Linked DNA regions of Pelodiscus sinensis. The protein of the gene in region 4 interacts with the protein of the main gene of each other region in a biochemical or structural test. Links are inferred from orthologs where the notes say so. Each region holds a gene or a part of one and is shown on either strand. Other genes may lie near its edges.

What was found.
Region 1: of the proteins of EP300 (region 4) and H4C16, one has a biochemical effect on the other in vitro, tested with the Homo sapiens proteins (5 studies listed by BioGRID). The link is inferred for Pelodiscus sinensis from reciprocal best matches to the Homo sapiens genes EP300 and H4C16.
Region 2: of the proteins of EP300 (region 4) and AKT1, one has a biochemical effect on the other in vitro, tested with the Homo sapiens proteins (3 studies listed by BioGRID, with this or other methods). The link is inferred for Pelodiscus sinensis from reciprocal best matches to the Homo sapiens genes EP300 and AKT1.
Region 3: the proteins of EP300 (region 4) and CCND1 form a complex in vitro, tested with the Homo sapiens proteins (2 studies listed by BioGRID). The link is inferred for Pelodiscus sinensis from reciprocal best matches to the Homo sapiens genes EP300 and CCND1.

The regions. Positions count from the first base shown.
Region 1 is NC_134711.1:85,908,133-85,913,537, reverse strand, and holds H4C16 (histone H4), read right to left. Parts: upstream 1,090-5,405; 5' UTR 963-1,089; coding exon 573-962; 3' UTR 508-572; downstream 1-507. Other genes in the region: histone H3, read left to right, coding at 1-91. UniProt on the Homo sapiens protein: Core component of nucleosome. Nucleosomes wrap and compact DNA into chromatin, limiting DNA accessibility to the cellular machineries which require DNA as a template.
Region 2 is NC_134714.1:18,007,855-18,014,886, reverse strand, and holds the start of AKT1 (RAC-alpha serine/threonine-protein kinase), read right to left. Parts: upstream 3,017-7,032; 5' UTR 2,873-3,016; intron 2,705-2,872; exon of another isoform or gene 2,371-2,704; intron 2,320-2,370; exon of another isoform or gene 2,188-2,319; intron 1-2,187. UniProt on the Homo sapiens protein: AKT1 is one of 3 closely related serine/threonine-protein kinases (AKT1, AKT2 and AKT3) called the AKT kinase, and which regulate many processes including metabolism, proliferation, cell survival, growth and angiogenesis.
Region 3 is NC_134714.1:88,731,208-88,739,205, reverse strand, and holds the start of CCND1 (G1/S-specific cyclin-D1), read left to right. Parts: upstream 1-4,976; 5' UTR 4,977-5,219; coding exon 5,220-5,417; intron 5,418-7,022; coding exon 7,023-7,238; intron 7,239-7,998. UniProt on the Homo sapiens protein: Regulatory component of the cyclin D1-CDK4 (DC) complex that phosphorylates and inhibits members of the retinoblastoma (RB) protein family including RB1 and regulates the cell-cycle during G(1)/S transition.
Region 4 is NC_134711.1:89,545,342-89,552,680, reverse strand, and holds the start of EP300 (histone acetyltransferase p300), read left to right. Parts: upstream 1-4,338; 5' UTR 4,339-5,887; coding exon 5,888-5,981; intron 5,982-7,339. UniProt on the Homo sapiens protein: Functions as a histone acetyltransferase and regulates transcription via chromatin remodeling. Acetylates all four core histones in nucleosomes. Histone acetylation gives an epigenetic tag for transcriptional activation.

The DNA.
Region 1 (5,405 bases), about 3.6 Mb from region 4:
TACCAACCTGTGCGCCATTCACGCTAAGAGAGTTACTATAATGCCTAAAGACATCCAGTTGGCCCGACGCATCCGAGGGGAAAGAGCTTAAAGCCCTTATCTTGCAACCATTTAAAACACAAAGGCTCTTTTAAGAGCCACCACATTTACACGGAAAAGAGCTGTATTTCCGCTTCCTTAGGTACACGCTACTATCGGGCAAAAACACCCCACTGTTGTTTTCCCCTTTCCACCCCGCAGTCCGGATGCGCTCCCGCAAACTTAAAACTGAGAAGCCTTTAGAAATGCGCTTTTATTTTGGGGGGAGAGGAGAGGAGTGTTGGGTTTTCACTTAAGTCTTAGCGATAATGCGCTGTATAGAACGCAAAGCAAAGTATTTCTCCGTGTGAGAAGCTACCATCCGGCACCCGAGCTAATTTGAACAGCCGTCGTCTACTAATGTAACGAAGGCTTTGGCCAGACCCCAAACCATTACAGCAACAGCAGCTCCTTTTTATGAAAGCGTGGGTGGCTCTGAAAAGAGCCTTTGGGTTAGTTTTTTCTTTTCTTCTCCCTAAGAATGACTGCCAGGCTTAGCCTCCGAATCCGTACAGAGTACGGCCTTGGCGCTTCAATGCATAAACCACGTCCATAGCAGTCACCGTCTTCCGCTTCGCGTGCTCGGTGTAAGTAACAGCATCTCGAATCACGTTCTCCAGGAAAACCTTCAGCACTCCCCGAGTCTCCTCGTAAATGAGACCCGAAATGCGCTTCACGCCCCCACGGCGCGCCAAACGGCGGATAGCTGGCTTCGTAATACCCTGGATGTTATCTCTCAATACCTTCCTATGGCGCTTAGCGCCTCCTTTCCCGAGACCTTTACCTCCCTTGCCACGGCCAGACATGCTCGCTAGCTTTTCAGTCACAGCTGCATGGCGATGCCGGGTAATCGTCTCCGTATATTGCCTGAAGTCCGACCTCATTGAGAACCGCAGAGGGAAAAGGGCGGGTTATTTGTACCGTCTCCCCTCCCCCGCTCTTCGCTGTCCATGCCTCTGACTGCCGGGGCGGCGCAAGGCTCGCAAAACTAGCTTGCTTACTAAAAGGGACTGGCGCGGGGGGTTTAGGCGACTCGGGGTGAAGCGCTGGCACGAAGCATGGGGGCTCCTTTGGAAGCCCGCCTCTCCTGACGCTGGTGGGCCTCTCCTTCAGCGTGCAGATGGCTAGATTAGGAATCTCTTTACGTCACCTTTTCTATCTGTTTTTGGAATATTTTCCCTTTCGACAAATCTTACGATAACGCGGCTGCCATTGTGTGGCTTCGTTTCAAGTAGGAATCTGCGGCAAAATACGGCCAATCAGGTTCCCTCACGCACGCCTCCCTTCCTCACTCCCTGCTCCTTTCTCTGCTCCCCCGCCCCCGCCGCCGCCATTTTCCAAAGCTTGTACAAAGGAAAGGAGGGTTTAACATGTGCTTCGGCCAAAAACCGGGAGCATGGGCACTCGGATTCCCTCCCCTTGCTCCTGATTGTTTTCTTTCTTCTCGCCTAACGTGAACGATGTCGCTGCTGCTGCTGCGTCTGACCACGGATTTGAATGGTCACTGAAAACAGACCCTCGGAAATCAAAAGCTTCAGAGGGGTTGCGGAGTTACTCTGTAACAGGAAAAAACTTCAACGCCAATAAATAGTCTAGTAGCACTTTAAAGACTAACAAAACACGTACCTGGTATCATGAGTTTTCCTGGGCAGAACCCACTTCTTCTGATGACCGAAGTATACTAAGAAACAGACTCCTCTCCTATTTCACAAAGGGTACATCTACACTGCACACTTATTTCGGAATAAGTTACTCCAGAAGGAATACTCCAAAATAGTTTATTTTACAATAGCATGTCTACACTATGGGTGTGTCTAGACTACCTAGTTTTGTCGACAAAAGTGGACTTTTGTCGACAAAACTATACCAGCGTCTACACTACTGCCTCATTTTACGAGGCATAACACCTTCTGTCGACAAGAACTCTGTCGACAGAAGGTGTTATTGCCTGTAACGTTGTGTCCAGACTACGGAGTTCTGTCGACAAAGCAGCTTGTTTTGTCGACAGAACTCAATGTGTCTGGACGCTCTTTGTTGGCGGAAGTTTTGTCGACAGTATCTGTCGACAAAACTTCCGTCGACAAAACGCGGTAGTCTAGACGTACCCTATGGGAAAGCTTCAAAGATAGTCCTGAGGATGCTACCTTGATTTAGAGCCCCAGGAACCACTAGGGTGTAATGACTTTGAATGGCCCTGGGGAGGAGCTAGTTCAAAATAGCAGTAGAGGAGGGTCCACACTACAGCTATTTCAAAATAGCTATTTCAGAATAGGCATTATTCCTCATGGAATGAGGTTTACAGAAGTCAGAATAAGCCGTCCATTATTTCGAAAGAACGGAATTGCTGTGTAGACGCTCGCATTATTTCAGAATAACATCCATTATTCCAAAATAATGCTGCTGCATAGACGCATCCAAAGCAGTTGCAGAAGTCTTAGAGGGAGATTGGTAGCTTTTCTTTCATTTTTTAATGTGGACACAAAGTTTGTCTGATTTTGAAGAGGCTAGATTTTTAGTTACTTGCACTAACATACAGAGGAAAATAGAGAAATCTGCTGTAAAATATGTAATCTATGTATATTTCTTTATACACAGGGCAGTTAAGGAACTTTAGAGTAAGTATTCTTTGGTTTGCTGATCTCTGCACACCACAAGTGATAAAGGTTTTCTCAAAGTCAATCATGAAATTCGACAGTTTTACTTTTTTTTTCCTTTTCTTGCTGGAGATTGGTTTTGTTTGATTGCATCTTCCCTTCCCTCCTGCCCGTCCACCGGCAATTCGTTCATTTGGTTTGTTTACTGCTGGAGAGAAAACAATGACATGTATATGGGTTTTAACTTTGATTAAAATTACCTCCAGGTTTCTTATGGAGAATTAAACCACCTCTGTCACTAGCACTTCAATGATCCTTTTATCAGTTCTTGGGCCTCTCACTGTGCAGGGAGCCCAATAACGTTAGGAAGATATTTGGGCCTTCTCCTACTGGCATTCTTCTGTCATTCAGGGAGTAAATTGAGCGTGGTTCTCAAACCACAGCTAGCACCACCATCAAGTGTATTAGCAGGATTAGTCCCATAGGATAGTACATGACTCCTTCCCCTCCCCGTAAAGCTTGCTGTGCATGCTTCATGCTAGGAAGAGGAGTCTGTCACTTCCACAGTTTAAGACAGGAGATACACTAAGACCTGGTATCCTGCCTTTGAAAATCATTCCACCTGTGAAAGTGATGTGTTGCGGCCTACCCAGAATATGTCAAATGAGTACCAGTTTAATTGTAAGTGGAAAGGAAAGGCAGCATTGTCAGATACAGGAGATAAAAATAAAAACAAAATTTGATTGGTTCACCAACAATAACCCTGCTTTTAGGGAAGTAAGTACCTCACACAGCAGTATGCAACAAAAGTGCTGATTACCCCAAAATGAGCAGACGAAAGTTTTTTGTAAGGACAGAATGAGACAACAAAAATCTAACGTCAGCAATTGTCAGGCGAGTGGAGGAGTACCAAAATACCGAAACAGGGTATATAAGGTTGGTTGAAACAGACCAAGAGCGGACAGGTTGCGAACCCCAAAAGCCAGGTCTGATCAACCAGGTCTCCCTCCCCGGCGCTGAATCTTGCTGCCGCACATAAGCTCCGAAAGGAGAACAAATAAGCTCCGAAAGGGGAACAAACACCTGTTGCAACAAAAAATCCAAAGAAAGGAAAAACAAAGAAAAGAATATCTCCTGAATCTAAGCAATGCTTCTATCTTTCTTAACGTGAGTATTATATATTTGTTAACTCCATAAATTGTTTAACGGTAACTCAGGAGGGTATATCTGTAGGAGAAGTTATTATTTCTTGTTTTTTTTTTTTCAACTATACTGTTTTTCTACTTTTTCTTTGTATATTATATTGTCTTAAAAGAATCAAAAATAGTGAATTGATTTAAATGGAAAATTAATTATAAAGTAAATAGAAAAAAATGAATAATCTTTGTTTGACCCTAAAAAGAAGTATTCCTCTGTCTGTGGTTTCAAATCCTTTAAAGAACCAAACCCGGTTACCGAAACCACCAAGAGAAGTTAAGTACATTCCAGTTCCAGTCCGGGAATACAGACAAGCCTTCTGTTCAGATGTCAATGTGCACATTCTACAAGTATTGAACCATTTGTGCAAGTAAGACTCCAACCCAAGTGTGGCCCTACTCAGCTCAGCATGAGGTTTGTATCGCCCACTTCAGGACACACAAGGAGCAACATAGAAGAAATTCCAAAACTGAGCCATTTTCCACATTCAGGAATCTTTTAATGATTGTTCAGTTCAGTGAGTGACTGGTGCTCTCGCACTGGAGCCAGTCTCCGTGTCCATGAAATGCCCATCTCCCTGGAAGAATCGTGCACTGGCACTAACCAATATGCTTAAACAGGTTTTGTATGCAAGGACAGAGACAGCTCCATTTAAAACTTTTTAAGGCATAGCGTAATTAGTCAGGCATTGGCTGTAAGAGGAGAGGAGGGGGTAAGCGCCCACCTCCATTAATGCTTTGCCTTGGGGCCTCAGTTAGGGCTCAGGGGATTCTCCTTTAGATTCTCCCATTTAACAGACAGGTCTACAGCCCAGCAAAGCTGAAGTCTGCACATCATCATGCTTTGGAAACACGGCTTAGGCCAGGTCTACACTAGACCTGGAAGGTCAGCTTAAAGTACACAATTCCAGCTACATAGAATACATAGCTGTAGTCAGCTTCCAGCACCCACACAGCAGCAGGCCAAGAGGAGCAAATGCTCCAGTAGGCTTCCCTTACTCCTCGGGACTGCGAGGAATACAGGCGCCAGCTGGAGCTTCCCTCACTGTTTGACTTACAGGTCTAAATCAAACCCGCTAAATCAAACGCCAGAATATCTATCTCCAGTAGGGTGAGTGCAGACATTCTCTTAGTGTCTCATAATCATGGAGATACGGAAAACATTGGCACTGTCTTGTTTATCAATTTTTCTAGCATGATTGAGATGCTAACATAGAGGTGATTCCTTGGTGCAAAGCAAAGTCACATTAGTTAGATAGGCAAGGAGAAGTCTCTGGAGACATTCCATCAAGACAATGAAAATTAAAAATCAGAGTTCTGCAAAATCTCACATAGAAGCCCCTTCCTGCAGCTCATACCAGTGTCTGATCAGTGTGCAGTTCTCATAAGGCTTTCCAAGCACCTTTCCCTAGATGATCTATTCAATCCTTTATTGTTTTGGTTTCCTTTGAGAAGCATGGGGATAGATACTTGCCTCCTGATCACAGGTGATTGTCCTCCCTTGCTTACTGTACATTAGAATGTAAAATGGGACAAA
Region 2 (7,032 bases), on a different chromosome or scaffold from region 4:
AAAACTTGCCAGCTGTCTACACTGGCCGCTTGAATTTCCAGAAAAGCACGGACGATCTGATGTAAAATCATCAGTGCTTTTCCGGAAAAACTATGCTGCTCCCGTTTGGGCAAAAGTCTTTTTCTGAAAGACTTTTGCACAAAAGGGCCAGTGTAGACAGCATAGTACTGTTTTCCGCAAAAAAGCCCCCATCGTGAAAAAGGCAATCGGGGCTTTATTGCGGAAAACCACGTGTAGATTGGCCACGGACGCTTTTCCGCAAAAAGTGCTTTTGCGGAAAAGCATCCTGCCAATCTAGACGCGCTTTTCCGAAAATGCTTTTAATGGAAAACTTTTCCGTTAAAAGCATTTTCGGAAATTCATGCCAGTGTAGATGTAGCCCAAGAGTTTTTCAGGATTCCAGAGTTATCCCAGAAAAACTCTTCTACATCCAGGGATGCATTTGTTCTTTCACTTTTTTTAGTGGAAGAGCAAATGTGCTCTTTGGGTAACCCCTATATTCCTCTTTCCACAAGGAATAAAGGGGCTTCCAAAAGAAGGGGTTTTTCTGACATTTGGTCCAGTCTAGACAGGCCAAATGTTGGAAAAACCTCTTCCTACAGAAGAATTGGGGGGAAAAAGCAGCAGTATAAGGATTGGGGATAGCAAGTGATGGAGAGGAGGAGAATAGAGAGGGCGTGTTGGGGCTTCAAGGAAGGGGTGGGGTCTTGGGGGAAGGATGGGGTAGTAGATCTTGGTTTGTTCTGTCATTTAAAAATGATCTTGGGTGCAAAAAGGTTGGAGACCACTGATATACAAGTTTAGTTCTATCTCGGATTCGGATTGTTGGGTGGACAAACTCAAAGCAGGGCAAAAGTGAGAATGACTGGAAATAGAGGACAGCTTTTCCAGACCCTTACATTTTCATTATGTTCCTCAAATGAGAAAACTCAATTTATAGTTTATAAAACTCTTGTATATGTTTCAAATTATATGAGCATATAGAGTCAGGAGACTGTAAATGGAATGAGAGGGAACACATATGTAAACAAAAGTTTTGGGTCCACCCCTCGTAAGGATGAAGTAAGTCATAGATCCATTTAATTCTCAATGAATTTTCTTCTAGCAAATATTATTAGCTTGCAAGTGAAAACTAGAGTTATAGATACTGCTTAATAAATTGGGATTCTTCTTTAATTAGACTGCACGCTTTCATATTTTGCAAATATCATTCACAAATTCTTGATAGCCCACCTACTGAAAAAGTAAAAGGTAATGACAATGTATTTAAACACACAAATACTTCTGTGCTATAGGTAAATATCCTGGCTGCCCCTATGAAATTAACAGCTACCTAAAGTACTCTAGTAGCCACACCACACTTTTTTTTTACTTGTAAACAAATATAACAAAGTTAATCCGGCCACTCCCCTTAAAAACTGCAACTTAAAGTGTACTTCCTGTCCCGATGTAAAGACAAACCAAATCAGATATTTGCTTCTTATATATTGGTAAGGGGAAATAAAGCTAACACTTCACCTAAGCAAAAAAACATGCAACCACATGAGTACAAACACCACCACACCAAAATGTCTAATGCATCTCCATATTGGTTATGATAAACAAAGTCCAAAATACACAGGTCAAATTAAGGAAACACCCACATACGCAGAGAGTGGTTTTTTTTTTCAATGAAGTTGAAGTGAGGTGAAGGTGCTAGAAGTCTCCAAGATACAATTCAGTGACCACTGAAGTTGCGGGGGGGACGGGGACTGGTCACAGTACTTCCCTAAATTGTGTCATAACTTTTGGAGAGTCTCAGAAACCTGTTATAAGCAATCAACTGACTGAAAAACAGTGCCACATAAAAGCTTGTGCAAACCAAAAGGCTCCTGATAGCCAAGGAATCCAACCAAGAAGGCTCGAAGACAGAGCCAGCCTCGCTCCTCCCCATGCATTTGTGGGGCGAAGGTAGGGTGGGAAGCAAGGCGGGAGAGTGCAAGATCCAGCTCAGCACTCCTCCCTCTGCGGGGAGACCCCCCCAAGCTCCAGTCACAAACACTTTCCTTGACTGGATTCCCAGAGCAGGCAGCCGCTTCCTGTTCGCGCAGCCCTACCCTTCCCCTCCTCGCCCCATGCCCCGATGCACACGCACAGAACGGGGAGTAAGCCCCAGGGCGCCAGCCCCCAGCCTCCTTGCAGGCTCACCCGGCGGGGTGCCGCAGCCGCCGCCACTGCGGCGCATGAAACCTCCCTCCGCCGAGGCCCGGCCCCGCGAGGGAGCCGCACGCACCATCCTGCCTCCCTCTTCCCCGGCGAGCGCCCCCCGCCCGCTCCGGCGAAGCAGGCCCCGGCGCTTCCTCCCGCCGCCCTGGCGCGCGGGGCACTTACACGCCCGGAGCGGCGGCGCTGCTGGGCGGGTTCCCCCGCGGGGCCGGCGCTAGGGCCTAGCTGGGCGCGGGCAGCCGCCTGGTCTCCCTCGCCGGCCGCTCCTCCGCCCCTCGGCGCGGGGGATCAGCCCATGGAGCGCGCCGGCCGGCCGGACCCCCGCCTGGCTCTGGCCGCTCCGGCGCTGGGCAGCCTCCGGCCGGGGCGCACGAGGGGGCGGCCGGGCCCCGAGCTGCTGGCTGCTGCCCCAGCCACCCCCCTTCAGGCTGGGCTGCTGCCGCGGCTCCCGGCTCCGCCAGCCTGCGCTCGCCTGGTCCCTCCTCTGCCTGCTGCTCGCACAGACACACACACACACACGGGCTGTGTCTGCTCGGCGATGCCTGCGGGGTCCTACCGCCCGCGGAATCCAGCCGCCTGCAGAGCCCGGCTGGGCGGGGGGGGGGGCAGAGAGTTCCTGCTGCAGCCCCCTTGGCGCTAGTCCAGGGCCCCCTCCCCACACACTCACAGTCGGCGCGGGGCGCCCATGCAGGTGTTTGTTCGGCATGCTGCAGGAGACGTGGGGAACTCCGGCTAACTTCCTAACCGCACACAGGCTTATCACGGCAATCAGGGCGGCTTGCCGCTCACACTGCTGTTTACTAAAAGGAGAGCTCGACTCACACACAACCACGCTGGTGGGACCGGAGTCCAGCTTTATTAGCTCGAATCGTAGCTCCCCACCTCCCCCCCCACACACACCCACCCACCCCGCTCAAACTGTAAGGCAAACACACACAAGAGGGAAACTGACCGGATTGTGCGTTTGTAAGGACTTTTTTGTTAGCTTTGGACGGTGCCTAGCGTGGTGGGGCCCTAGCGCAGGAAGGTGTGTTACCACAATAGGATGATAACAACAACAAAACAAAAGCTGTGCGGCCAACTCTCCCAGTAGTTGGTGTTTTCAATAAAGCCCTGGGGCTTGAATTAATTTGGTAATGTGAGAATGTCAGTTCTCATTTTTTTTAAAAGGTTTTTTTTAAGCCCTCGTGATTCTCAAGATGGGTCTGCAAATGCAAATCAAGTAAATTCTAAAAGCTGAGAACACAGCAGCCAACTAAAAAAACTTACACAACTGAGAGTGTTGTTGGGTTTTTTTTAATTGAGTGAATTTTAAGCCAATCTCCTGACTGGAGAGGGCATGACTCATAATTTTTTATTCTTGGAATTGACACCTCAGTGAAGACACCCATGTATAGCCAAAAGCAACCAAAGATGTGGGCAATTGTGAGTTATAGATCAGAGAGGGAAATTAAGATATGAGACAAGAGGTATTGCAGTTAGGGAAAATAAATACATAAATACATTACAAATGTCCTAAAGGAAACAGAGTAGCAACAACAAAAGGAAAAATTATGTAGCACTTTAAAGACTAACAAGATAGTTTAATAGGTGATGAGCTTTCCAGGGCCAGAGTAGGTCTGGCCCACAAAAGCTATTAAACCATCTTGTTAGTCTTTAAAGGGCTACATAGTTTTTCCTTTTGTTTTAGCAAGATCAGACTAACACGGCTACCTCTCTATTCAACATGCAGAGTAGCAACAGTAATCCTCAAATGTTGTAGGATGGATTGAAATATGCTCATTCTTCTCCTACATAAACTTCACCAAAGAGAAGTTATTCGTGAACATTATTGCTTGTCTTCCTTTTAGACTTGACTTTTTCATATTTCATAAATACACACACACATGAGGAATCAAGGAGACTCCATGCATGCATGGTTGTGGTATGCAGATCAAATTGCTTATCTCTGGAGCCTTATATTTGCAAGAACTATTTACTCCACTGAAGTGTGTCTTGGAAAGAAAGCTTTTCTTATTCCTTTTGAATTAATCTTTTAGCTAAAAGAGAACATTGCTAAGCAGATAGAATGAAATGAATCAGGAGAGCTTGTTGAACAGGCAGATTCAAATTCTCTCTTGATTCATGGTGAAAAGTGTGTTTTGCAGTTATCTGAGGATCTCAAAGCATTTTACAAAAGTGAATACTACGGTGTGGCTCAAAGCAAAGGCAGAAGTGGAGATTAAAACCCTAATTCTACAAATACTAAAAGCTGTGATGCTGCCTCAAACCAATCATCCATCTAGCCCAATATCCTGTTTCCAAAAATGGTGGGCACTAGAGCTGCAGAAAGACTAGAGAGAAGTGCAAGAAATGCATGGTGGAACAGACTTTAGCATAAGTAGTTAACACATGTTATAAGGAACTATTCAAGGTAAATGAACAAATTAATATCTCTGTAGTCATGGGATAAAAAGAGGGGGTTAGAGGGTTACAAATTATTATAAGCTATACATCAGGTGGCTTTATTAAGACCTTTATTCTTAGTGCCTAGTAAAATTATGAATTTAAGATCACTGGCTCGTCTTTTGAAAGTGCTGTGCAGGTTTCCTTTGAATATGAGGACTAAAAGATCAGATATAGATATGCATAAGGGTGAGCCAATCACTTTGTGAAAAATATTCACTCTCAGGTGATATGGTATTTTTCTCTTTTATCATTTTTCTGAGTGAGTTCATTCAAGAGTGTACTAATTGTCTTGTTTCGCCCCCATAGTTTTTAGGTCATTTAGTACATACATTGCATGAGGTATACCACATGTCAAGAGAGGCATATGTAGGAACTTTGGATCCTGAAAGATGCCATGAGAGGGCATTTCCTATTACCCCACTTAGTTTCTTTAGTGAGATACCTTGTTGAATGCTTTCTTAAAATCCAAGTACCCTATGTTGACTGGCTTATCCATATCCTCATGTTTGTTGACTCCCTCATAGAATTGTATTAAATCAGTGAGGTATGGCTTACTTTTACAAAAGCCACATTGACTCATCAACAAATTTTATTCATCTATGTGTTTGATTATTCTGTTTTTTTACTATGGTATCCATCAATTTGCCCAGTACTGAAGGTAGCCTCACTAGTCTGTAGATGCCAGGATCATCTTTGAAGACCTTTTTAAAAATCAGTGTTACATTAGCTACCTTCCAGTGATTTGTAACAGAGGCTTTTTTTCAGTGATAGTCTTTAAGGTGCTGCTAGAGTATTTGCTAACAACACATGTTGATGGTTTCATGAGCTTTCATGGGTAAACCCACTTCTTCATTGTTGTACCCATGAAAGCTCATGATATATCTACATGTGGGCTGTGTCTAGACTGGCAAGTTCTTCCACAAAAGCAGCTGCTTTTGCGGAAAAACTTGCCAGCTGTCTACACTGGCCGCTTAAATTTCTGCAGGAACACTGATTTCCTATTGTCTGAAATCAGTGCTTCTTGCGGAAATACTGTGCTGGTCCCATTCGGGCAAAAGTCCTTTTTTGTGTGCAAAAGGGCCAGTGTAGACAGCTCAGATTTGTTTTGCGCAAAAAAGCCCCGATCGTGAAAAAGGCGATCGGGGCTTTTTTGTGGAAAAGTGCGTCTAGATTGGCACAAACGCTTTTCCGCAAAAGCTGTTTTTGTGGAAAAGCATCCGTGCCAATCTAGACGCTCTTTTCCGCAAATGCTTTTAACGAAAAACTTTTCCGTTAAAAGCATTTGCGGAAAATCATGCCAATCTAGACGTAGCCGTATTGTTAGTCTTTAAGGTGCTGCTAGACTATTCATTAAGTTTTTCCATAGAATATTAAAACTGGAAGGGACATCAAGAGGTAATCAAGTCCAGTCCCCTGCTCTCACGGCAGGACCAAGCACCTTCTAGACCATCCCCGATAGATGTCAATCTAACCTGCTCTTAACTATCTCCAGAGATGGAGATTCCACAACCTCCATAGGCAGTTTATTTCCAGCATTTAAATATATTCCAGTTACAGACTAACTTGGCTACCCCTCTGTAGCTTTTCAGTGATAGATTACATCAGGGCCAGCTCGAGCCATTCCTGCGTCCTGGGCAGCAGGCACGCAACGCATGCGCGGCTCCACCCCTGGTGCGCTGCACTCCTTCCAGCTGCAATTGGGCGTGCGGCACCTGATTGCAGCTCTAAGGGGTGCCGCACAGGCCCCGGGCGTGCAGTGCCTAATGGCAGCTCTAAGGGGTGCCGCGCGGATGGGCGTGTGCGCCCCTTACAGCTGCCATCAGGCGCCTCCCATAGGTTGGCACCCCCGGCAGCTGCCCGGCTAGACCCCCTCCCCCTTAATCCAGCCCTGGGTTACATACCACACTTAGTAGTTCTGCAATTTCATATCTGAGTTCCACCAGAATGCTGGGTGAATGCTGTCTGGTACTGCTGATTATCGTTGTTCAATGTATCAATTTATTCTAAAAGTCTTCTATTGTTCTTGATGTGGTCTCTTCACATCAGAGAGATCCTTTTTTTGGGTGACAGACCTGAAGGCAGTGGATCAACTCACATGCCTAAAGTTACATCCTGATACTGCAAGCATGTATGTAAGTAATTTTCTCATGATCACATAGTAAAACAGTAGTTGGACTGAAAATACAGCTAAGTCTTGTTATGCACAGTCTCCTGCCCAAACCATTAGATTATGCGGCTTCCCATAAATTAGTTTTGGTGGAGACATCTGATTATACCATATGAATTCTTTGGCAGTCCCATAACAAGAGACTTGTTATTATTTAATGTTATAGAAGTGCACACATGGCCAACTCATTAGTAATGTCCCATTCTGTTGGT
Region 3 (7,998 bases), on a different chromosome or scaffold from region 4:
TTCTTTTAAAGGGTTTTATTAAAAACTAAACGTACACACTAAGGGGTTTCTTAATGTATGCCAAAATATTCAGCGACACTGCACGAACCTGGATAATTATGCCGTTACAAACTCACCTTTTCTGTGCCCGACAATATCTAAGGTTACCGATTTTCATTCAAGAACAATCGCAATTATTTGCATTGCCCTGGCGTATCTGGATGCACCCTTTCGTGAGAATACGATGTGACCAGGGTGGCCCACGTGTAAGGGAAAGGTGGTTTTGTTTGTGTTTGGAAAGCAGAATCCAGTAATTATGATGTGAGACCTCCAGAATGGAGCGTGTGCAACCACTTCGACCACGTTGTGCAACAAGAACACAGTTCAGAAAACTACTAGTCCCCGGAGTGTTTGGATTCTGCAGTTACTCGATTGTCCCGGACAGGGATTTCCCTATCCTCCCCCCCCCCCCATGGGAGTGTATACCCCCGCTGAATTTCACCAACACCCCCCCCCCCCGCAGTTTTGTGAACTATGGTGCCATACAGCCCACCTTCACCCTCACGGTGTCACCCCTCATCGGCCCTCATACACCCCTTGTAAATTCAAACACCCCCCCCATTTCAATTCCTGGGGGGGCTACTGGCCCCGGAGGAGAGAATGAAGCTTATAGCATTAGAAACTGCATCACAGAACCTCCCCAAAGTCCTCTGATTCTGCAGGATGGTTCAATAAAAAATGAGCCTCTTGCAGTAGGAGAAAAGGAAGAAGGAGAATGATTTGGCACGTTAAACATCCAGATCTCTTCTAAATCCTTAGGTAAGCGATGGGAAGGTTCATCACTAAGAACATAATGCAACTCAACGTCAAGGGCAAGACACGACAAGCCCTAGCAGTACATGTCTGTGTAGAGTGAAGAAAGAGGGGCTAGATCCGGAGTGCATCGCCTCCTGCCCCACGCAGTCCGGAGCTGAGAGATCTCCGATAGAACCCTCTTCCCGTCATGGGCTCTTCAAGGGACCTTTGCCTAAAAAAAAAAGTCCTGTTTAAGTAATGGAGTCGGATCGGGGCAATGCGCTGCCTCCACAACCGTACAACACACGAATCGTTCCTATTGTGTAGTGGATTGGTTACTGCGCTGATCTAAAAAGTGTGTGTGTGTGTGTGTGTGTGTATATATATATATATATATATAGTGGAGAGAGCGGAAAGTAGAACTAAATTGAGGTTGTGACTCAACCCCGGAAAGCGACTGGCTGCAAAGCAAACTCCAGCAGCACATCGCTGGCTCATTCAGTAGGGCGTGTAGCCCACTAGGAATTTGAGATTGTGTGGGATCTTGCTGCCCCTGGCATTGTGCGACAGCCCCCACCCCCCTTCCCCTTCCCTCGGGACTTTCAGGGCACAAGAGAAGACCGCCTCCAAAGGCAAGCGAGTGATTATAGAAATGGCCCATTGGCTCCATTAGTTCTGCTCTAGCCAGAGCCTGGTGGGACCTATGTCATTTTGGGGACTCCCACTTTGCACCTCTACCCTCCCCTCCCCTCCTTCCTGGGATGTCGCTATCGGTACTAGGCCCTTGCTAAAGCCTTGTCCTGCCCAAGATCTCGTGTGAATTTGATCCAGAAGAACCAGGCACCTTGCTTTTAACACACACACCCTCTTTTCCCGACCACCCTCCCACACCGCCTCTCCCGCACGCCCACTCTTTTAAGCTTTGGGATGTGTGCGTAGCTGGAGAAGGAGACAGAACTGCTTGCTTTGGGCGTTGATGGAAATTGCCAGTAGACTAAGGCTAGGAATAACACGTGCTGCGAAAGACAAAACGGGGGACAAAATTGGGGGTTGGGGAGCTGAGGAGGCAGCACGTTAGACGAACTGCAGAAATCTGCACTGCGAAAAAGGAGACTTGAGCGTGGAGGAAGAAGCCTTTCCCCCCCTTCAATGAGCGATTGGAAAAGTTTAACAATGGAAAACATTGACGGATGAGTGGGGGGGAGGGGAACCCTTTTAAGTTGCCGATCAGGTATCTGGCCCAAGGTGAGATTCCACCTACACATGTGGGAAGTGGTTTGTTTAATTTATGGCATTCTTACAAACAAAAGAAGGCTGGTTCCCTCCGTCTGGGCTCGAGTGAAAAGTGCACACTTAGGAGAGACAGCAAGGAACAAGACTAGTCCTGGACATGTGGGTAACAACCCAAATGGATTTTTTAACAGGTTCAAAAAACCTTCCCCCCTCCTTCAGCAATTATAAGTCTGTCCTGCATTTGAGTAATAAAGAGACAGACACGAACTGTTCTGAAAATGCTGCAATGCTTTTTCCTTCTTTAGTCATGAATTAAATTATATTTCGCATGTTGCTTTGCAATACAGCTAAATCGGCTGCAGATCACCCGCCTTTCAGAAAGACAAAGTGCACCTTTAAACATTGTCAAGGATCTAAAGTGAGCTGAGAAGTCTCTCTGCCCGGCATTAGGGCGAGATTTTTAAATTGGGCACAAGTAAATAATTCTTTTGATGACTGTGCTTTGATCTTGGAGAATTATTTCCGTAAAAGAGCAGTAGGCACCGGCTATCAGTAACGGTGTGAACTTAGGGTTCATAAAGTGTCATAAAGTGTCATAAAACTTTTCCTCCCTCAGTCAATCCAAGTTTTCACGGTTTTTTGTAGCTCTTGCACTTTTGACCAGTCCCCTTTTCTTGTCAGAGAAATCAAGCAAGTTCCTAGTTCAGATCTGCCTGATCCGCCTGGTAACAGATCTATTCCCCTATTGGCTTATGCTAATTTCAGTTTCCTCTTGTATTTCAGCCCATTTTAGGGGGTGGGGGTTCCCTGCAGGAATTAGAGCCAATTTTGTTTTAAGTGGGCGATCTCGTTCATGCAATATTGCCACACGCAGCAGAAGCCAGTCTGTCTGTGCAGCGGTCTCAGCTGGAGGGTGGTAGTGGGAGGGGGGCTCCGGAAAAGCTGTAGCTGATACCACTCCGCCTCATAAATCAAGGGCTCTTGCCACACCGATGCGGATTTTTATGAATGAAAAAACAACTTTGTTCGCATCGTGAAAAAAAAAGCAGCAGCAAATGCATCGGGAGAGCAAGAATTCCATGCAGCAAACAGAGCGTGGGGGAGGGATGGAGAATCAGTGTAGTTGATCCCCGATGGAAGATTTATTGATCAAGAAATAAACAGAGAGAAACACTAATGTGACCAGAGGGGTAGAGGCAATGCCTGGTCCCCAAATTATACTGCCTTAGAAAATGTCACTAATGCTTGAAAGGAAAAAAATCCACATTAGAAAAAACGTTTGAGATTAAGGAGCGATGTAACTATTTGTTGAACAAAATGTACCCCTGAACTTGTCTGTGATTAATGGACAAATAGTTTATTGACTTTAAAGGGTGAGCTTAATGTTTGTTTGTTTGTTTAATAAAAATTGGAACATATTTGCTACTTTTCAGGAATAAAAAAGATACATAATTTATATAGGTAGGAATTTCTTTCCTTGGTTAAAAAAAAATCCCATAAATTCTAGCAGTGGACAAGTACAACAGGGGCCAATATCCTGACTGGAGCCTTTGTGTATCATCATAATATAGGCAAGACAAAGGTCAGATGTGAAGATCGCCTGTTATATACACTATACATAAATAAAACTATAGCCTTATGATCTGTAGCGATATATCCAATATAGCTCATTGCATGTACAAGAGGGACAAGGATTGCTATGCAGAATTATGTATACGTTATACATTCATACATGTGAACCTCATGCAATCTAACCCAACTGGAGATGCTTTGAGAAGGGCTGCAGAAGCGCCAGGTATTAATGTATTAATTATTATTATGTATTAAGATGTGCCCAGCCAGGCAGGCTGAGAACCAGTTCAGCAAGCAGAGGACAAAGTGGATCCCCATATCTATGAGCCCCCAAAACAGTCACCAGCGAGACACAAATGCTTGCTCCATTGAAATGAGTTTTGCTATGGCTGGGATGGGGCTAAGACTTCAGCCGTAGCACTTTCCCCGTATGCAAAAAGCAGCCAAATCCCTTCAGGCCTAAATGCTTCTTTTCTGAAAATGTTTCAGATTAAAGGGAAGACCTTTAACAAGTGTTCAATGTAAAAAAAAAAAGGTTTCTTAAATTTAAAATAGCTTTATTTGGGAAAGTAAAGTCTCCCATGCTGGGACCACAATACAACTGTGGATAGGGCTGTTGCTAACTTAAATGGGCTTTGGCTCTGGCTCCTGATAACCCCAGTGAATATCAGCACCTTCCTCGCATTCCTCTTCCTCTAGGTGTTAACTGTGCGGGAGGAAATGCTGGCCACCATTTTGCTGGGATTGTTCTGGGTGGTTACTGGTTATGTGTGCTGTGGGGGTGGGGTGTTGATATCTGATCTATTGCCTGCTTAGGGTTAACTGCTTTCTTAGTGCAGCTTGGATGAGCTATCACGGTGTTCTGCTTACCCTGTCTTTAGGGTAAAAGCTTAATATTAAAAAAAGCACCCTGAATATTCTAGGGGGAACTTTCTTTTCAGTTCGGGGATGCAGCAAAAATCTACACTGACTTGGTGAGGTTGGGGGAGGGGGTAGGTACAAGGAATGGAAAAGGACAAGATCCTCTACATGCCCTGGCAGGCCAGGTTGAAAGCCTATTTTTAAACAATGCTAGTTTAATTTAGAGATGGGTGATAATAATGAATATGGTCCTGCTGCCCTCCCCCACTAAAATGATAATAAATAAGCTTCCCTGTATTTATAGCCATGCCTGACTGTGTGTGGCCTAGTCCCATTCATCATTTGGCTCCCACTGCATTACTCTCTCGATTTTAAAAATTATGCATGATATGCTGAAGAGACAATTTGGGTTTCCCCCACCTCTCTGCTTCCCTTGAAGAAAGCAAGCCCTTGTCTCATTTGCATTAAACCCTTGCTTCTGTATAAGGGGAAGGACTTAAAGCCTATGGGATGGCTTTAGGGCTCTGCCCCTTGCTTTTGGCTTCTCTCTCACTCTCTGTCTCATTCTCTCTTGTGCTTTGATCTCTGCTTAACAACAGTAAACGTCACAGGGGCTATACAGGAGACTTTTGTTGGAAGTTAGAAAGTTTTGCAGCCTCCAGAGGGCTGTAGCGGCAGTAGCAGCAAGCAGCATCCAAAGGACTCCTGGAAGGGGAAGCGAGCGAGAGACTGACTGACTCAGTCCTTTAGAAAACTGCCTTTGGAAGAAGGAGACAGACATGGAACATCAGCTGCTGTGTTGTGAAGTGGAGACCATCAGAAGAGCCTATCTAGATACCAACCTCCTCAATGACAGGGTTCTGCAGACAATGCTGAAAGCAGAGGAGACCTGCTCGCCCTCTGTGTCCTACTTCAAGTGCGTGCAGAAGGAAATCTTGCCATATATGAGGAAAATAGTTGCCACTTGGATGCTGGAGGTTTGTATGTTTCAGAGATTTCTTTGCAAGCTGCTGCATTAACCAACCCTGAATGGCTCCCCCGTTCTAGAATCTGCCCCCTCGCCCCCCCCCCCAAAAGCTTCCTTCAGCATTGGAGGTAACGCTAGAGCTATATATTGACAGTCAAGAATGTGATGGCTTTTATCCCCTTATCTTCTATTTGCTTCTTAACAATGAGGTGCCTTCCATAGCGGGAAAGCAAGCCCCGCACCCCCATCTCTAAAACAAAAATAAATTCTGGGGCGGGGGGGCTCCCTTGAACCTTTTCAAATGAACTCGGTGCCAGAGAAAACAAAGTTTCACAGCCCCAGCTGGAAAAAGCCCCCTTAAGACGCCTCCTCTGGGATCCCAGATGAACACAGCAACTTCCCAGGCACCCCGAGGCCCCACTCTTGTCTTCGGGCAGCAATTAAACCTCGCCAGCTATTTTATTGGGATTTTATTTTAAATTAATATCGATGTACACGTATGCAAGTGCTGCCCGTGCCAGTATTATGCGCCATCTTTGTTCTTTTATTGCAAAGCAAAAGTGTTTATTAATAATTAGAAAATTAGCAAGTCCCCAGGAGCGAGCCAAGGGGGGCAGGGGGCGTCCCAGAAATGGGGGTCCCTGCTGGGGCTGTGGACAGGGGGATCGGCTGTTGGGCTCTGTCATTTCTGGGGGAAATGCAGGGTGAAAGTTTCTTTGTTCAGAGCAGAGAGCGAGCTGTGGTCACCCCTCAAAGACATGCTTGTGCTGCAGGAACTTTCGGCAAGGTCGCATGGCAAAATCCAGTTCAAATGCCCCACTCCCCTGGCAGGACATGTCCCAGGGCATCCCCAGCAGGATCTAGGGAGCCTGGGCTACATTTTCATGCCTTTTCCGAAGCCTTGGACGCCTGCGATCTATTTTTAATTAATTTTTGAAAGCGCAGCACGTTGCCCTTGCTCTAGGAAATGTCGCACGTTGCTTTTCTGAAGAGGGTGAGGGGGAACGAGGGAGTTTGATTTCGGGGTATCTCCCTGACCGCCCCTAGGTGCCCCATCAGCACGGGGATCGGTAAAGGACCCCCGCCGGGTCATTTTCAGCCGTTTTTGGAGCTTGGGCTGATTTTTTAAATATTTTTAAATATTTTTTGAAAAGATGACGTCTGGGGAAATGGGGCTGGTGCGGCTGCTCCGGACGCCACCTTTGTGTCTCGAGCAAAGCAGAAGATCGGCTGCACCCAAGTAAATAAGAAATAATAATCATAATAATTAAAGAAAACCCTGGGAGCCCAGCTGGGCCCCTGCATCACTTTGCAAGTTATTTGTCCTTTTTTTTAAAAAAAAGCGACTCCCGATCTGCGAGCACCCAGATTTTTACCAAAGCTCGCCTGCGGATTTTTCACACCACATTTCCCCACTTTCTCTCTTTGCGACTTTCTCTTTCAGTTTCTTTTAAGTCTTCCCTCCTCTCCTTTTGGGGAAATTTATTTCTCCCCCGTCAACCCCATCCTCTGCCTTGCCCTTCAAGCTTTGGTTGGGGGTGGGGGGAGGAGGCATAACTGGATTTAATAGTGGATGCAATTACTGGTCGTTTCAACGAGCTCTCTCCTTTTCCAGGTTTGCGAGGAGCAGAAATGTGAAGAGGAGGTTTTCCCCTTGGCTATGAATTATTTGGACAGATTTTTATCGTTTGAACCCCTCAAGAAAAGCCGATTGCAACTCCTGGGAGCTACCTGCATGTTTGTGGCGTCAAAAATGAAGGAAACTATTCCTCTGACCGCAGAAAAACTGTGCATTTACACCGATAACTCTATTAGACCCGACGAGTTACTGGTAATTTCACGTTTCTTTCGTCTGGGGGGAGAAAAAAAAAGCACGAGCAGGAGCGAGGAAGAGAAATACATACAAACAATTAAATCACATAAATAAGCCCGCCCGACAGAGAAAATCGTCAGGCTTGTTCTTCAGATCTGCCCAGCCTGCCTCCCCCGCCCCCCCACGCCGCCACTGAAGCATTATGCGCATTTCACCCCCGTAGAATTATTGCTCGTTCCGCTCCAGCTCCCAGGCTAACTCCCTGACTCGCACATGGGGACAGGAGATGTAACTTACATGGCTCTCAGAGAGAGTGCACCCACCTCCCCCAACCCAAAGGAGTTGGCATGAAGGGGTCCCACGCGCGCCTTAGCCCGGGCTTGTGCAAACGCTCTGGGACTGCAGACTAAACTAGACCGTAGATTGTTCGAATGAGCCCCCCCCCCCACCCCAATACTCTCATTATTACCTCACCCTAAGAGAAAGTCCAGTCCAGCGTGGAAAACGTGGGTGGCTGGCGCCCTCTTGCGTTCCGAATGTGCCGTTCAGCAACTTGACTGTTTAATGGAGCGTTTCAAGGCAGCTGGGCGAGGATAAGTCTTTCCAGTAGTTGCATGCAAAAAGGCATCCTCACCTAGGTGCTCTCCTGCTGGTAGTCATCCTTAACAGCACCACTAGTTAGCAAGAGTAGTATTTTAGTCCTAGTTTCCCCCTCATGCAGAAGTCAGTGCCTCAAAAAGATTGCCAGTGCGTTAAGATTCCAGAATACAGTAAAAAA
Region 4 (7,339 bases):
ATGATAGTCTACTATGGTTTAAGACCACAATGAATTGCATGATTAAATGTGGTTAATCACAATTAATTTAATTGCTTGAAAGTCCTATAAATATGAATAAGTAATAAGTAATAAAATAATGAATATATTAGATTTGATATCAGGATTATACTAGTAAATTGCTCAAAATCTTAGCTATGTCCTCTAAGGTTTCTACAGTGATAGAAATATTTTTTCATAATTATGAATTTAGCAGCAAATCAGGTCAAACTACTTCCCTCATGGAAGAATAAACATATGGAAGGTATTACATAGAAAAGCAATTGAAATAAAAGAATAAAAATGAGACACCTCTATTGGTTTCTGGAGAAGAACAGGATTATGGAATCTGGAAAACCAAACACACATGCAAGAACAAACATAGGATTAAGATCAACCAAAAGAAGTAACATGTTTGGGTCTCTCTTTTAATTGGTAAAAATGCCCATGTTTTATTTCATGAATCTAAGTAAACACACATGGCAACAATCTGGCCATGTTCCACTACATGGTCTGTTCCTATGCCAAAACAACTGGGTACATTATTGTTGGAAAACAATCATGAAATACAAAGTATACAGTGTCAAAACAGAAAATTCATGTATCCATTTGCACAAAGCACAGTGCATGGTTACATAATAAAAATGCCATCTGTTTATGCAGCTATCCCATTGTGCCTCAGTTTCTCTAACTGTACAGTAGGGATAATAATACTACTACACAGGGCCTTGTGGGGTATAATTAATTTGTTATTACCAGTAATCATTATGATTGCAATGTGCACTGTGGTTATTGGATGAAAGGTGCAATAACATGAGTGTAGTTATAATAAAAAACTGTTTAGGGATATAATGTACAGGCGGCCCCCACTTTGTGACAGCCCAATTTATGACCCCCCACATTTACAAGCTTTTTGTAAGTGCAGAAGGGGCCGAAATCCCCCGACTTATGTCCTCGGCTCCACATTTACAATGGCATATGACACCTGTCATAAATGTAGACTCGAGTTACGACATCCCCAACTTGCGACGCTATCTCCAGAACCAATCACGTTGCAAGTCGGGGGCAGCCGACAGAACAGAAATATGGAGCCTGAACTTATATTATTGGTTTGAATTTTGCCTCAGATTAGTAGTAACTTGAAAGCTATTACCAGGCCAGTTATTTTGTAGCCTGTGAAAAATCAGATGACAAAATCCCCTTCCTACTCTAAGGGTACATCTACACTGCAACACTATTTTGAATACCTAGGATCAATGGTGCTGACAGTGGTTCCTCTCTATGTGATGCCTAGCATTATATCAAAGCTGCTTGGTATAAATGGAATGGTAGGAATTGACCTCAGTTCTGTGTGATAAAAAATACCAATACAATTAAAAGGTAGGGTGTAAAACTGTAGTTCAACCCATCTTAATGTACAGAATAGAGTTTTGGACAGACACAAAAGAAATCAGTGTGCTCTCCACTGTAGAGATGAAGGCAATTAAATGATAGGCAATTAACTGAAATTATGAAGGGCCTAATGAGGGTTGTCCCAATTGAAGACAAGTTCAGAACATTGGTATGGACCAGTGTTCCCCCTAATCTTTTCCATCTATGTGTGAAATAATTTTTATGTGCACTGAGGCATGTGTGAATGTGTACCACCAGTAGAAACAAAACCTAGCTGTGGGCATTTTGTTAATTATCTGGGCAGCATTTGAATCTCTCCTGAGTGACTGCACAAGCACATGGCTTACAAGGAACACTGTTATGGACATGTCTAATGGAGAGCTGACAGTTATGGTACAATGGTCCTTGCGCTGTTCTTGGACAGAAGATGACCAAGGGAGAGGATAAATACTTGGTACATAGACCAAATTTCAGCCAACCTAAACATGACTAACTTGCATGACAGCCAGGTGTACAGTTATGAGTTTTGGAAGAAGGCAATAAAAGTCTCTGACCATGAACAGGGAAGTGGCAAGAAAGAAGATACCAAATTTTGTATCCCTCTATATATTCTTTTCTTTTAGGCCTAACTCTTATAACTTGCTCTGCATGCATGGAGCCTTCTGGCTGGGCACAAAACTTGCTGAAATCACTAGGTCTGTGCATAGGTGTAAGGATCTGCTCACATGGAATAGGTTGCAAAACAGTGGCCAGATATTTAAACTGCTCGAACAGGCAGTGTCTTTATACCTAGGACAGAGCAAAGCACAACACTGATGCATACTAAATAATAGTGTAGTGTAGGTGAGATCAGAATTTGTGTTTGTGAGAAACCAACCTTGCAAAATTGTCATGAAAGCATATAAACTCCAGTACAAGATCTATGCAGCTGTACTTGCCGATTATGATTAATGATAATGAGGGAGAAACCATAGTGTATATGCCTGAATATAGGGATGTGAATGACTCATTGACTAAAGGTGTCTAGATTACAGAGTTTTTTTCAAAAAAAGTGGCCTTTTTTCGAAAAAACTTCCCCTGCGTCTAGATTGCTGCCACATTCTTTCGAAAGTAAATTGAAAGAACGCGGTAGTTTTTTCAACCTTGGAAAACCTCATTTTACGAGGAAGAATGCCATTTTTCGAAAGTGCTCTTTCGAAAAAAGGCGATATGTAATGCAAACTGTGCTTTTTCGAAAGTACTGGTTGTAGTCTAGATGCTCTTTTTTGAAAGAAGCTTTTTCGAAAGTATCTTTCGAAAAAGCTTCTTTCGAAAGAGGCTTGCAGTCTAGACATTGCCTAATTGACTATCTGATAAACAAATGCTTATTGGATAGTCGACATGCTAGTTGACTAATCACTTCCCCCCCCTTGCTGCCTCTATCAGAAAGAGGCAGCAAGGGGGAGGGAAGAAAAGCGGGTGCTTCAAGGTGGCAGTGCCATGTGGAGCCCAGGGTCTGCTGCTATGAAATGCTGTGAAGCCTGGGGCCAGCTGGGGACTGGCCTTCCAGCTGGCCCCAGGCTGCATGCAGCGTTTCAAGCAGCAGCGCTGCATGGAGCCTGGGGTTTGTTGCTTTGAAACGCCAAGTGCAGCCCAGGGCTAGCTGGGGACTGAACTCCCAGCTGGCCCCAGGCTGCATGTGGCATTTCAAAGTGGCAGCTCTGCATGGAGCTCAGGGTCAGGTGGGGATTCTGAGTCCCCCGCTGACCCGGGGCTATATGTAGTGTTGCTCAGGGGTGGATATAGGGCAGGGTGAGCCGAGTGGCCACCCCAGGCCTCGCGCTTCAAGAAGCCGCGCGCATGCGCCACCACACGTGCGCCGTGTCAAAGGGGGGGCCGCGCAAAATTGTGCTCTTCTGGGCCCCGCAAAATCCTCATCTGCCCATGGTGTTGCTGCTTTGAGCAACACTGGCAGCTCTGGAACTGTTGCTACACTTCAAAGGCTGAGGCTTATCGACTAAGCGAATAATGGATGCAAACTGCATCCACTATTCGATTAGCCAGTTAATCTAAATGTAACTTCCCTACCAGTATCTACTATATATTTGAGAGAGATTTTCTGTGTCTGTCTGTATGCTTGTTCAAGAACTCCTTCGAAGTGGTAAGAGCTAGGACCACCAAATTCAGTACTCAGCTTTCTAACTTCAAGCAAGGTACATTTTCATTATGTTTTCAAAACAACCCAAAAACCTTAATTAAGGACCCCAGCAATGTCAGGTTAATGTCAGGAGAGCGGAGCTTTGCCAGGCGGGTCAGACTCCGCTTTAGGGTGATGTATCAATGGCAGGTTACACAACGGCGTAATCTGCATCTCTGGGTAGGTACATGCATAGCTGTCGCTGTACTGCGCATCACGCAGCCACCTCGCTGAGTAGAAATCGACATAGGAAATGGGCCAGATCCTGCTCTCCTCCCCCCTCCTCCCCAGCCCTTGAAATCCAGGGTCTGAGCTGCGGGGCCTTTGTCTCTGCCGAGCCGGGAGAGGCTCCGGGCAGCCGCGCCCCCGCCCAGCGGTGCAGCAGAGGAGCTGCCCACTCCAGGTTGCGCTCCCCCGCCCCCCCCCCCCAGCAGTCGGGTTACAACAATCCTGCCACAATCAACCACCGCGCTGCGTTTTTCGGCCGACTAATAAAACAAGGAGGCGGTGGGCGGGGGAGGAAGGGTTTCTTTTCCACCCCTCCTTCTCCTTCCCCTTTAAGAGGCGGAGGTGAGGGAGTTTGCGGAAGGCCTCGATGAAGCAGGGCGCGCGGAGTGGGCGGCCTGACCTCGTGACTGCCTCTGGCCCCGCCCCTGATTCTCCCCCCCGCACCGTTCCAGCCCCCACCCTCCGCGTTCCATTGTGAGTGCGAGCTCCGCGTGGCCCCGCCTTCCCTCCGGGCCCCGCCTCCTTTTTTTCTCTTGGCTCACTTCCGGCCGCCGCCGCCGCTCGCTTCCCTCCGAGGACTCGGGAGAGTGAAGAAACAACAGCCGCCATTTTGTTTGTGTGTGAGCGACTGAGGGAGGGCGAGAGAGACCGAGCCGGACGGGGCGAGCCAGGGGGCGGGCAGCGCAGAGAGACTCAGGGGGCCCGGGCGGGGAACGGGAAGAGAAGAGAGTCCGAGACCCACCCCCGTTAACCACACCAGCCCCACAGCCAGCCGCCGAGAGCCAGGCAGCGGCACTAGGGAGTCTGCGCGCTCGGCCTCCGCTTAAAGCCCCCGTTCCACCCCGCCCCGCCCGCCTCCGGGGAGCAGAGGAGACCCCCCCCCCGCGGTCTCTTTTATTCGTGAGGGGGAGATTCTCCCCCCCCCCGTCCCGGGATTTTGGGTGGTGTCTGGACCCCCGCTGGGGCCCCCGCCCCCGAAGGCGGAGGCGAGAGGGCGTCCCAACAGCGCCTGAGAGGCGGAGAGTGACCGTCGCCGAACGCAGGGTGGGGGAGAGGAGCCTGACACCCCCCGCCCTGCCCAAACCAGCGCTAACCATCCTCAGCCACTCGGGAGGGGAAGGTAGCGCGAGAGAAGGGGGGAGGGGCCGGCTGCTGCTTCCTCCTCCTCCTGCCCTGGGATCGGTCCCTCCGCTTGCTCAGGGGGGCACCCTGCTCCTCCGGCTGGGAGAGAGCGAGAAGGGGGCGCTGAAACCCGCCCCCTGCACCTCCATCCAGGGATCGGCGCTGCTTCCATCAGGACAACAACCCCTCCTCTTTCCCCGCACGACAAGATGTGAAGCGGAGACTCTTGGGACTTATCCTCACCCTCCTCATCCTTCCAGCTCCCCGCTCTGCAGCCATTAGTGCCTGGCGAGGAAGAAGCAAGGGGAGCTGGGGACCCCGGACACGCACTGTCTTGCTTCCCTCCAGCCCCTTCGCGGGCAGTGGGTGGTGGTTTTTTTTGCTGTGTGGTGTTGGACGGGGAAGGAGCTGCTAGAGGAGGGTGATTTTTTCCCCCTCTCCTTTTTCCTCCTCCTCTCCCCTTCTTCGCCCGCCTCCTTGTGGCGATGAGGAGGAGGAGAACGACGCCGAGGAGGAAGAGGCTGATGGCGGCGGTGAGGCGGCAGCAGGAGGAGGAGACCCCCCGGAGGATGAAGATGATGGTGGCAGAGATGAGGAAGCAGCAGCAGCACAGCAGCCGGGATTAATTTGACTAAACCCTACCAGGCTCTTCTCCTTCTTTTTTGTTGCTGGCACGGGGGGAGGTTTCCGTGTTCTTCCCGTCTCCTCTCTGTCCGGGGGAAAAGGCCTCTTCCGTACCCTACTCCCCACCTTTTCCCCCCGCTGAGTCGGTGCCACCCTACCAGAGACCGAACCCGAGGGGCAGAAAAAGGGGAACTTGGCCCCCCGCGTCCTCCAGATCCGTCGCTCGCTCTCATTAGTCCACAACTGAGTCGGGGATCCGAGAGGAAGGGGAAGATTTTGGGGATCCCCGTCCCTCTGCTCGCTGTGTTTGTCTAAAAAGAATTAAAAATGGCCGAGAATGTGGTGGAGCCGGGCCCGCCTTCAGCCAAGCGGCCTAAACTCTCCTCACCGGCGCTCTCCGTGTCCGCAAGCGATGGCACAGGTCAGTCTCAGGGGCCCAGACCCCCCATGTCCCAATAATACGCCTAGAACCCTTTCCTCTCCTCTAGTTTTCCTCCTCTTCAGCTCTGTTTCTTCCTTAGTCCCTTCCCCTTTTTGTCTTTCCATTTGCACCCGTTTTTCGTCTGCATCTATGTGTATTAATCTTTTCGGAGGGTATTTAATTGCTCTTGCCCTTTATTTGTTAGATGTGATTGAGATGGGATCTTATTTATTATTCATTTGGTCACTTGCAGAAAAGACTTAACAGTTGTACAGTTTTCATCTTTATATCTCTCATTTCTGGTGGTTATAGGCATAAAATAGTGCACAAAACATCTTAACTCTTAACAGTGTCTGTATACATACACTTATGTCTCAATGTTTGTTGGATTACATGCATTGTAAAAATCCTTACATATTTTTCTTCTAAATAAGAGAGTTTTTTCCCCATTCCTCCTTTTCTCTTGTTTGCATTCTGGTTATCCTATTTACTTTTTTACCATTTCCCTTCACCTTTTCTCACCTCTCTTTTCTCTAAGGAACAGCTATCCTGGTTTTTGCTAGAAATTTCTTAGTTGTAATTTTTAAGTTCTGGATTGCAGATTTTAGTGATGTGTAAGATTTTAAGACCATGTTTATCTGCATGCAAACACATAGCGTTTCATCTTATTTGCATTAAGAATCAATATGGAGCGCAGTTCATTTTGCATCTTCCATTTCTTTGCTGTGAGACCAAAATGTCTGAAATTTCCATGTAGATTTATTGGGTTGTGAAGATGAAAGGGTCTTTTTCTTTCTTCAAGGATTTTTAACAGTGGTTTTGTATGGAGGAACAATCCATAGTTGTTCCAAAATCAAGCTAGAGGGTATAAATTTTGGGTGTCCCAATCCCCATCAAATGTAAACTAGTTGTACTGGAAATTAACAGTAAGCTGTTCTTCACTGCCTCTTATTAAGAAGCAGATGAGCATTTGGTAAAATTCTGCTTTGAGAGTTCTGAGCAGCCTGTCCCCCGTTGTTTCTCAAAACTTGCTTTTAGATCTTCTTAGGTTAAAGAAAACTTTTGGGACTCAACTCTGTCACTCCCCCTGCATATATTCTCTAGTTAATGTTGTTGTTCCCGATAGGCACCAGTTTACTTGTTCATTGTAATTGTTTGAGCTGCCAGGAAAATGAGTAAAAAATGTCTGGCCGTCACTCAGTAAACAAGATGTTTTAAATGTCTTGCTTTCTGTTGTGCATTGGTTTAACTGGAATCATCTTAATTAAAAGTTTTTTGTTTGCTCATCTTCTTAATTTGTTCTATAAAGTTTATATACCTAATTGAAAAATGTTTGCAGAGAACTTTTAGAATACATT